Saccharomyces cerevisiae S288C: one gene and its partners. The main gene of each other region encodes a partner of the protein of the gene in region 2 in a complex. Each region holds a gene or a part of one and is shown on either strand. Other genes may lie near its edges.

Region 1 (3,295 bases), on a different chromosome or scaffold from region 2:
TAAGGCTATGAAATTTGCTGACGGTTTCTTGATTCACTCTGGTCAACCAGTCAACGACTTCATTGACACTGCTACTAGACACGTCTTGATGAGACAAGGTGTTTTGGGTATCAAGGTTAAGATTATGAGAGACCCAGCTAAGAGCAGAACTGGTCCAAAGGCTTTGCCAGATGCTGTCACCATCATTGAACCAAAAGAAGAAGAACCAATTCTTGCTCCATCTGTCAAGGACTACAGACCAGCTGAAGAAACTGAAGCTCAAGCTGAACCAGTTGAAGCTTAGATTTAATTATTAAATACATAAATAAACTATAAGTACAATAATTTCTTCTATTCTAGTGCACTTAATTGTTGCGGTTTCTTGCATATTGCCGTGTTTAGTCAGGAGGGTGCACGTTGAAGCAGTGCGTTGAAACTAGTTGTTATTTACAGAATCACAATATTATATAATCAAAAGAAAAGTTTTGTACAACACAACTGTGAATATAGGTTAAGAAGTGAGTAGCAGTTCATCTTTCTCAGCTTACAGGACGATTTCTCGGATATGAATGAGTTCGCTATCGTTTTCACCACTTGTATACGCCGCCTGTAACACCCCTAATGGGCTTATCTCCCAACTGTACCCATGGCGCTCTTTTTTGCTCTTTTAAATGTGCTTCATAAGCAAGTCTTCGTTTCGTAACACTCTTTGTTCTCAGAATACATCTGACATGTATGTAAGGATGACTTATGATTCCGATTCTTGTCCTTGCCTTGAATTCAACACGTTTTCTCCAAAACCCGTCACTCCCTGTCCAAATCTGAGAGATATATAAGTCCTCTGGTTTCAAACCTAATTTTTGGCCATCTTTTACACCTTTTTGAAGTAGTTCTGCTACTTCGCGAGCAATTTTCTTATTAGAAAAGTGACACTGAGATATAGCTTTCATAACGTCGAGGCCTCCCAATAACCTCAACAAAAGTGTAGCCTTTTTCATCGACGATTTAATTCTATATGACTGAGCATATACGGAAGGTTCTAGTACTTCAATTTCTCTTTTTGTTAACTTTAGCTTGTAACGTTCGCTAGAATTTGGTAACTTTACAATAGTATCTTTCTTGTAAAACCCACCATTAATTTTACAATTAGCTTCATATATTTCCCTTTTCAAAGGAGATAATAAGCTCTGTGATGCTAATTGTTCCGGTTGCTGCAACGATATGATATGTTGCTGTAGTAGTTTATCGTTTTCTATGGTTATTGAATCCCTATTAACTTCAGGAGCCTCTCCAGAAGAATCAGAAGCAATCGCTAACCTATTAGAGAAGCTGCCTGCATCTTCATCCCCCCTGTTTTTTCCTTCCTTTGGTTTATTTTCTGTAATGCTTCCGAATAGTGATCCTCCTGAATTATTAAGACTTATTGGCGTTACATGAATCCAACGTCTACTTACAGAAGAAAGTAGAGCCCTAGAAATGACACCGACCTGAGATATTCTTGCCGTGTGGAAGTTCATTTTCTTTAATAAAAAAGATAGGGTGAGGTGAGGTTCTCTGACTTGCTATGCGGCTCCTAATGGCGTATGTTAAAATGCCTTCCAGATTGGATAGTTGACTTTTATTCAAAATCCCGAGTACAGTGAAGGCTTAGTTACCCCGCCCACAGAAGATTAATAGAATATCATGAGTACTGTTCAAGCAGCAAGCAGGAGAAAAGACTGAAAGAGTTTCGTATAATTTAGTATTTATTTATTTAGGAGAACTAAAATATTTTCTTTATACACAAAGAACAAAGTTTTCTTTTTTTTTCATTGCAGAATGGTATCATTGTTTTTTATGCCTTTTAAAAGGCCTTGTCGTTCTTCACTATTGGCAATAAAGATGTTTTTATGATTTTTAATAGTAGTGTTATTCAGCAAGAGCTGATTTTGCTTAATTAGTAAACATCATACTAATAGACTGAAGTCATCGTCATATAATTTCCCTCAAGAACCCTTGTGAATTGTTCTGAACTGTATTTCTCTCATCATGAGAGATGTCATTATCTAAACCACGTCCGAGTCGTATCGAATTTGAAGATAAAGTAGAAAAGCCACCTTGAGTAGATGAACCCAATGACGAATATGTAAATGAAGAGCCATAGGAAAATCTGTTTTCCTGGTCCATGAAATTACTCCGCATATTTTGAAAGGAGCCATTCATTGCGGTAACATTCCTTGGTGGTGGCACTGGAGGAGGATTTCCTCTTGCCTTAAAATTGAATTCGTTGCTGAACGGATTATTAGCAGAAGCAGTCTCGGTGTTTCGTTGCTGTGATCCCGAGTCTTGAGCTTGAAGTGACGCCTCTTTTGCTTGGGCAGTTGTTGGGAATCCCGTTCTGCGCCCAATCTCGTGACAGAAGGAATCGTTTTCCTTGAAATGCCTCTTTGCCTTCCTTTTTCTAACCAGCATGAACCAAACTACTAGTACACATATAAGAATACCACCGACGCTTCCTACCACACTTCCAACAATGGTACCAGTATTTGTCTTTGAAGTGCCTTGGTTTTTGTTATTATCCAAACTGCCATCAAGCCAGTGCTGATAGAAAGACATGTCAGCTGTGATCGTCGAAGATGGAGCGGAAAATGAGGTTACCTCACTTTTTGCAACTGCTATGGTCGTAGGTAATCCCGTCACGAACGTTGTAGAGGAGTCAGTAATATCATATGTTTGGGTATAGAAATAATAAATAGTTTTTGAATCTTCGGAGCTTGAAATGGCTACCGTATTGAAGACCTGACTGGATGTTGGTATGGGAGACGTAGAAATCGTACTAGTGCTGGGTGTTTGAGTGGTGGGTGGTATACTGCTGCTAGTAGTAGATTGTAAGGACTGAAAAGTATACGTGCTTGAGTAAGCACTTGTTGTATCATCTGATGATGATGATGATGAAGGACGGTTTGAAGGTACTTTACTGCTGGATGAGCTAACAGAACTTGACGTTGGCACGGAAATCGTGCTTATGGAAACTGTCGAAGATGAAGCTGATGGACTGAGTTTCGATGATTTGCTTATGGTTGAAAAATCGTTCGTCGATGAAAGCGATGAACTGTAAAACGATGTGGAAGTATTCCGACTGGAACTTGGGAATGTGGTATCTTTATTTGATATCGTAGAAGGAGAAGAAATTGTTGAGAACCAACTAGAAGAGAGTTCTGAAGTGGTACTAATTTGAAATGAAGTTGCAGATATGGAAGACAAGTATGTGTAACTAGGGGATATTACGGTGGGTGTTGATGGTGAGAAAATAGAAGATCTGCTGTCGAACGAAAAC
Region 2 (3,056 bases):
ATAGTTTTTTAGATAGGAGTGAAGAGATAAGCCTGTGTATGCATATTAAATGGTATTTTTCCTCTGGCTATTTCCATTGGTCATTAATCACTCAAAATTATATAATATTCTTGTTTTTGTTTCCTTTTAAGTTTTCAATGCACTCATGTTCTTCTCGTATTTGGGGTAAACCCCTTTATAAGTTCGAAAATCGTCATAACCCGTTCAGTTCCTTGTTTATGTCTCACATACCTGTCTTAACGGTCATTTCTTATTGTGTTTGCTGTCTTTCTTGTTTCTTTGATACTTGTAAATCAGTACTATACTGTTCAACATCCTGAAATCTCTGATTTCAAATAAATTTCATAGGAGCGGAGGCTTCCATTCAGTTGGAATTTAACTTCAAAAAAAAACTGTGAAATGTACGGGTGTAAAACAGTCTAAAAAATGAATTGCCAATTAATGTAGCAAGCATATACGCATCAATAATGTTCAGAATGTGTGCATACCTACATATGTACAAACAGATATGCTTTTTTATATACAGGGGAAAACCAACGATATTTTCGGAATGGCAATTATCTTCTTTATTTCTTCCTTTTATACGGTGATGGTGGATAAGTCGAATTTATGATCCTCTAATCTAGCTAGGATATCCTTGACTGGAACGTCGGCAAATAACTCGACAAATTTTTTGTAGTTCAGGTCCTTCCCTACTGACCTATATTCCAATTTCTCTAAAGGATATAAAAATGACATCAATCTTCTTCTTCCAACTGATATTTTTCTTGGTGAGCCGTTTACTATTTCATCATAGTAAATTTTGGCCTTTTTACCACCAGCCATTTCTATGATAGGTGCATCCTTATGTGGGGGATTCTCTATTTCATCTTTTCTTTTTAAAACCCTATAACGAAGCTTCCATCCGGTCGGCCCTAATTCTTTTATTCTTGCAGATTTTTCCTTTGTTAAATAGTTGTCAATCCCTCCTTCTTTACTGATTGTTTTTAAAACTTTAGCGGTCATTTTGATACTGATTTTTCTGTTCAGAGTCTCACTCCAGAGACCTTTTTTGACAACATTTGGCAACCACTTCTTCCTCGTTTTGGCTTTACTTTCAGAAATATTGTTACCAAACTGAACGAAAGATCCACCATATAGACCTTTGTTACTCTGTTTGAAGATATTAGATTCCCCATACTTGTAATCTGGAAATTTCTTTCTTTCTTTTGGCATATGTAAAGGTTTAGCATCACCAACTTGGTAGTTCGGTTGTTTGGCAATCTTCCTTGTTTCAATCAGTCTCCATTGCCTGAAGTTTTTTACGGAAGAGGTAAAGCCTCTCGTTAATTGGAATGGTCTGAAAATTTTTTGCATATTCTTCTGTGAGCTTTTTCTTCCTTAAACTGATTTTTCTATACCCCTGGGCACTAACTTCTAATAGCTCTAGCTGATCAGCTGTTTTTGGTTTCTCAAATGAATTTCACAAAGCGTGCCCGGATGCGAGAATACGAGATTATTTAATTAAATATAATTGCAGAAAGAGAAGAAGGAAACGTACTAAGCTCAATTTGTCCACAGTATAATCAACAAAATTGCACATTTAATTGTTTTTACTAAAAGTTTAGGAAACCGTTGTCACGATGTAATTAAAATTCTTGAATTCTTGATATGAAGGCTCTTTTCATGATGTGCCACATGAGTACAGCCGATATTTGAGAAACGTAGAATAAAATAAAACGTTAAACGCCAAGATATTTACTGTTGCAAAGTTTAGAATGGTATGGAAAGGGTTACTGTTAACTGCTAACTCGAGTATATATTGTCACGATTGTGGTTCATTATTTCTGCTAGAAGTAATGCTTACTAACAATTTCTCGGTCTTATTTATATCCTAAACACTCTCCTTTACTACTTCATCGTCACTGAATTCTTAGTCCATGAACAGTTTTAAAGTACTCTATTTTCTTTATCCGGCTTCCCTAACCTCATATATTATCTTGCAACTTTATACAATTGAAGCTCTCAAATGTCAACAAAATATGAAATAATCAAAAATCAAGAAATAAATTTATCATTATATTTAGTCATGTATCATTCAAGGGGAGCAGTAGCTGATATACACAGTTTAACTATTTAAAAACCTTTTTAAATCCTGACCAGCCGGCTCCCAAAGGATTATTTTTAGAATTAGAATATTCGAATAACGTACCATTTTTGTTTGCAGTTTTTATTTCTTCAATAAGCCTTTCTAGTTCTGAAATCCTATCCTGCAATTTCAAATTTTCGTCCATTACTTGGGTATTCTTTTTCATTGTCTCTTCCAAATCTTTCTTTAAATCATTGGGCACATATACACCTAAAACTTGCTTCTTTTTTTCTGAATCCAACTTTTTCTTCAAATCTAAAATTTGAAGTTTGTAACCATTATTTTCATTTAATACAGACTCGATATTAAGCCGATTTTTCACTAACTCGTTCGCAATTGTCACATGCTCTCTATTTAAAGATGTGTAGTCGTTTTCTAATTTACGAACATGCTTTTGTAAATGTAAATTTTTTTCCGTGATAGACTTATATTGCACTTCTTTTTCATTGTCCAATCTGTGAATTTCCTCATATTCAGAAGAATATTTCTTCATAGTCTTTGGGGTTATTGCTACTTTCATCATAGAGTCTTGTAGTAATTTATCCATACATTCATTTGAGAGAAGAGTGTCACCGCGTGTACCATCATTCTGCTTAATATAAGCATCTAACAGACCTGATTTCAATAGCTCCAGCATATCATCAAAACCCATTTTTAACAGATGGTCTCGGGAATTAGATAAAAGTGTGGCTAAAATTCTCATAATAGAGTCAATACCTTCTAAAAATACCATATCACCGATACGTGGTTGAATTTCAGTGGGAAGTTTCTTTTGAAACAGTGTCGTGAAGAAACCGGGCAAAAACATGGAAGAACGGACGCCTTTTTCAACCATGTGGTTGTGAATTTCAGGATAAAATTCTTCTACAAGTCTATCAAATTTATAGCAAAGAATATCGATCTCAGAAGCACTTGGTAAGAACAAGAG
Region 3 (2,733 bases), on a different chromosome or scaffold from region 2:
TCTGAGCCCACGCTCCCAATTTCGAAGTTTTACTTGGTTTGGAATGCTGTTTTCGAATCTCACCGAGCCACGTGGAACCTTTCACAGTTGATGGTTTTGGATGGTGTACTAGTCACATACCCGAGCTTCAAACAATTGAACAACGCCTATTTTATTGATGAATCCAGCAACAAAACTGCGCTTTATTACAGAAACTGGAAATTACAACTGTTTTCACCAATATGGGCGCAGCTATGGAATACTGCCATTGTCAGGGCTAATTTATCGATTCAGCATTGCCTTCTGATAGCATTAGCTTTACTTTTTAATCAGTCAAACCGAAGCGCCCTTTTGCATGGAGTTGACGTATCATGGAATTTGGTCACAGAGAAACTATTGGACCTTTTGGAAGAGTATGTACACGGCATTGTGCAGCCGATGGAAATTTTTTCGACTGATTCAGTCTTATCAACCAACTTGAATCATTTGGCCAGTTGCTTGACCAGTTCAATCACGAGGTCAAATGAGGCAACTTTGGTAAATTCAGTACGCAAACTAGAAAGGATATGTCGATACTTGTCCGATACTGTGGCTTCGTTGAAAGAACAACAACTAGATTTCAAGTTCCAAAATGTATTTATCCTGATAATCCTCGCGTTAAAAGAATTATCCGCCATGAATATGACAATACTGCCTAACCATAAAGACACTTTTTATTCTATGATCTGTTTAAGCCTTTTCCACGTCCACGTATTGACTCAAAAAATCGGGACAGTCGGTTTTCCCAGTTACGATTATGTTTACGATAATTTAGTAACGTATTTCATTGTCATGGATGACTTGTCTAAAATCACTACAGTTTTGGAACTAATGAAAAGAAACAACACCAAACAAGATCCAAATAAATTAGTGTTTTACATCAATTTTCTAAACAAAATTACTAATTACTATGGGTGTCGCATTCGTTTGCCGTTTATTACTGAGTTTATCGAACCTTTACTGCATTTCGATGTATTTTTTAGCGGGAAGACGGGCAATACCTTGGATATTGAAATCAAAGAATCTATACACACATTGACAATCACTGTACTGTCTATAGACTCCTCTTATTCCTCACAGGTTGCACAATGGCAAGTATCCCGCATACTCGTCTATTTAAAGATGTCGATGGACCAATTTATTGCAGGTAAATTGTCCGCAAATCAAATTTTACTTATATTCGGCCATCTATCCACACAACTTCCCTCACTACATAATTATAACAAGCATTTGCTTAGGGACTCTTTGCACGAGACGTATATCAGAATTGTTAATGTAAAAAACCCAGAAAAGAAGAATGTATTGATTGAATGTCTGATTGTACAAATAGCCTTTATCAACAATCCTCATCATTTGATCGGCTGGTTGAACATCTGTCTCCAGCTAATCAATACACATAACAAAAAGCTACTTCAACAATTGTGGGAAATGGTTTCGAGTCTAGAATCCTCCCTAGCCATCGACTGGTGGTACACAACGGTCTTATCAAGTCAATCTTCTAAATTATAGTATCATTAAGTACTTTATAGTAGCGCCTTTTTATATTCCTTTTTTCTCAAACAAAAAAAAAAAATGACTGGGATACAAGTGAAAGTGGAAGAGCAAGTGAAATACGAAATAAAGTGAACCATTTATACAGAATAGGAAAACCAACTAGTGCATTAAACTAAACTCCATGTCATACAAACAGTATTTTGATAGTTTGCCTTTGAAATTGAAGTCCTTTTTCCAAAGATACCCCCCTTCAATCAAGTATTCTCCAGTGTCTACATCTACTAAAGCCATTAATGCCAATCCTTTCCTGCCAAATAAACATCCGGTCACACAACGATTTCATGATCCGAAATATTCACTTAGAAGAATGAGTGACGTATATAAGTTGGCACTGCGTTATGGAGTAGAAGAGTTTTTACCACCGATCGAAAACACTAAGAAACTTTTCTTCGAGGAGAAATACAATAAAAAGACCCTCATGAAAGGTGTTCTCTTGCCCAAGGGTCATAAGCATGAATTGAAATTAAACGAAAAGCTAAAAAAACGTGAAGAAGCTTTAAAGAAGGTAGATGAGTTGATTGCTTCCAAGAAGGGTTCGAAGTATGCCAAGAGAGTAGAAAAAATGAAAAAAAACCAAAGTATAGGCTGGTTCTGAAGAATAAGAGAGAAGATAACTATAGTTTAGAATAGTAAACCCTATGTGTACTGTTTTATGTTTTTAATGTCTAATCATGTAAATAATTTTGTGATATCAATAACGAACGTTCTGAACAAGAATTATGATAAAAAAAAGTAAAATCTAAAGCCATTACAACGCTATATTTTCAGTGGCAGTAAAAACGCAAGAACAAAAACAAAACGTGGGTAAAGAACAAGGACTACAATGGCTGTCAATGAATTTCAAGTGGAGTCTAACATCTCTCCAAAACAACTGAATAACCAGTCAGTGTCACTTGTTATTCCTCGGTTGACAAGAGATAAAATTCATAATTCAATGTACTATAAAGTAAATCTAAGCAACGAATCTTTGAGAGGCAATACAATGGTAGAGCTTTTGAAAGTTATGATTGGCGCATTTGGTACCATAAAAGGTCAAAATGGTCATTTACACATGATGGTTCTCGGTGGCATTGAGTTTAAATGCATCTTAATGAAGTTAATCGAAATCAGACCGAATTTCCAGCAGTTGAACTTCTTATTGAATGTAAAAAATGAGAACGG

Evidence for each region. Proteins that work in one complex are often made in the same cells at the same time.
Region 1: MRPL24 (region 2) and MRPL22 share a complex: the UniProt entries of both Saccharomyces cerevisiae proteins name them as parts of the mitochondrial large ribosomal subunit.
Region 3: MRPL24 (region 2) and MRPL25 share a complex: the UniProt entries of both Saccharomyces cerevisiae proteins name them as parts of the mitochondrial large ribosomal subunit.

Annotation. Positions count from the first base shown.
Region 1 is NC_001146.8:303,120-306,414, forward strand, and holds MRPL22 (mitochondrial 54S ribosomal protein uL22m MRPL22), read right to left. Parts: upstream 1,497-3,295; coding exon 567-1,496; downstream 1-566. Other genes in the region: 40S ribosomal protein uS3 RPS3, read left to right, coding at 1-283; TDA7 (Tda7p), read right to left, coding at 1,951-3,295. UniProt on the Saccharomyces cerevisiae protein: Component of the mitochondrial ribosome (mitoribosome), a dedicated translation machinery responsible for the synthesis of mitochondrial genome-encoded proteins, including at least some of the essential transmembrane subunits of the mitochondrial respiratory chain.
Region 2 is NC_001145.3:648,336-651,391, reverse strand, and holds MRPL24 (mitochondrial 54S ribosomal protein bL28m MRPL24), read right to left. Parts: upstream 1,357-3,056; coding exon 580-1,356; downstream 1-579. Other genes in the region: 60S ribosomal protein eL36 RPL36A, read right to left, coding at 232-247; GYL1 (Gyl1p), read right to left, coding at 2,112-3,056. UniProt on the Saccharomyces cerevisiae protein: Component of the mitochondrial ribosome (mitoribosome), a dedicated translation machinery responsible for the synthesis of mitochondrial genome-encoded proteins, including at least some of the essential transmembrane subunits of the mitochondrial respiratory chain.
Region 3 is NC_001139.9:636,538-639,270, reverse strand, and holds MRPL25 (mitochondrial 54S ribosomal protein mL59 MRPL25), read left to right. Parts: upstream 1-1,693; coding exon 1,694-2,167; downstream 2,168-2,733. Other genes in the region: PEX8 (Pex8p), read left to right, coding at 1-1,527; U4/U6-U5 snRNP complex subunit PRP38, read left to right, coding at 2,396-2,733. UniProt on the Saccharomyces cerevisiae protein: Component of the mitochondrial ribosome (mitoribosome), a dedicated translation machinery responsible for the synthesis of mitochondrial genome-encoded proteins, including at least some of the essential transmembrane subunits of the mitochondrial respiratory chain.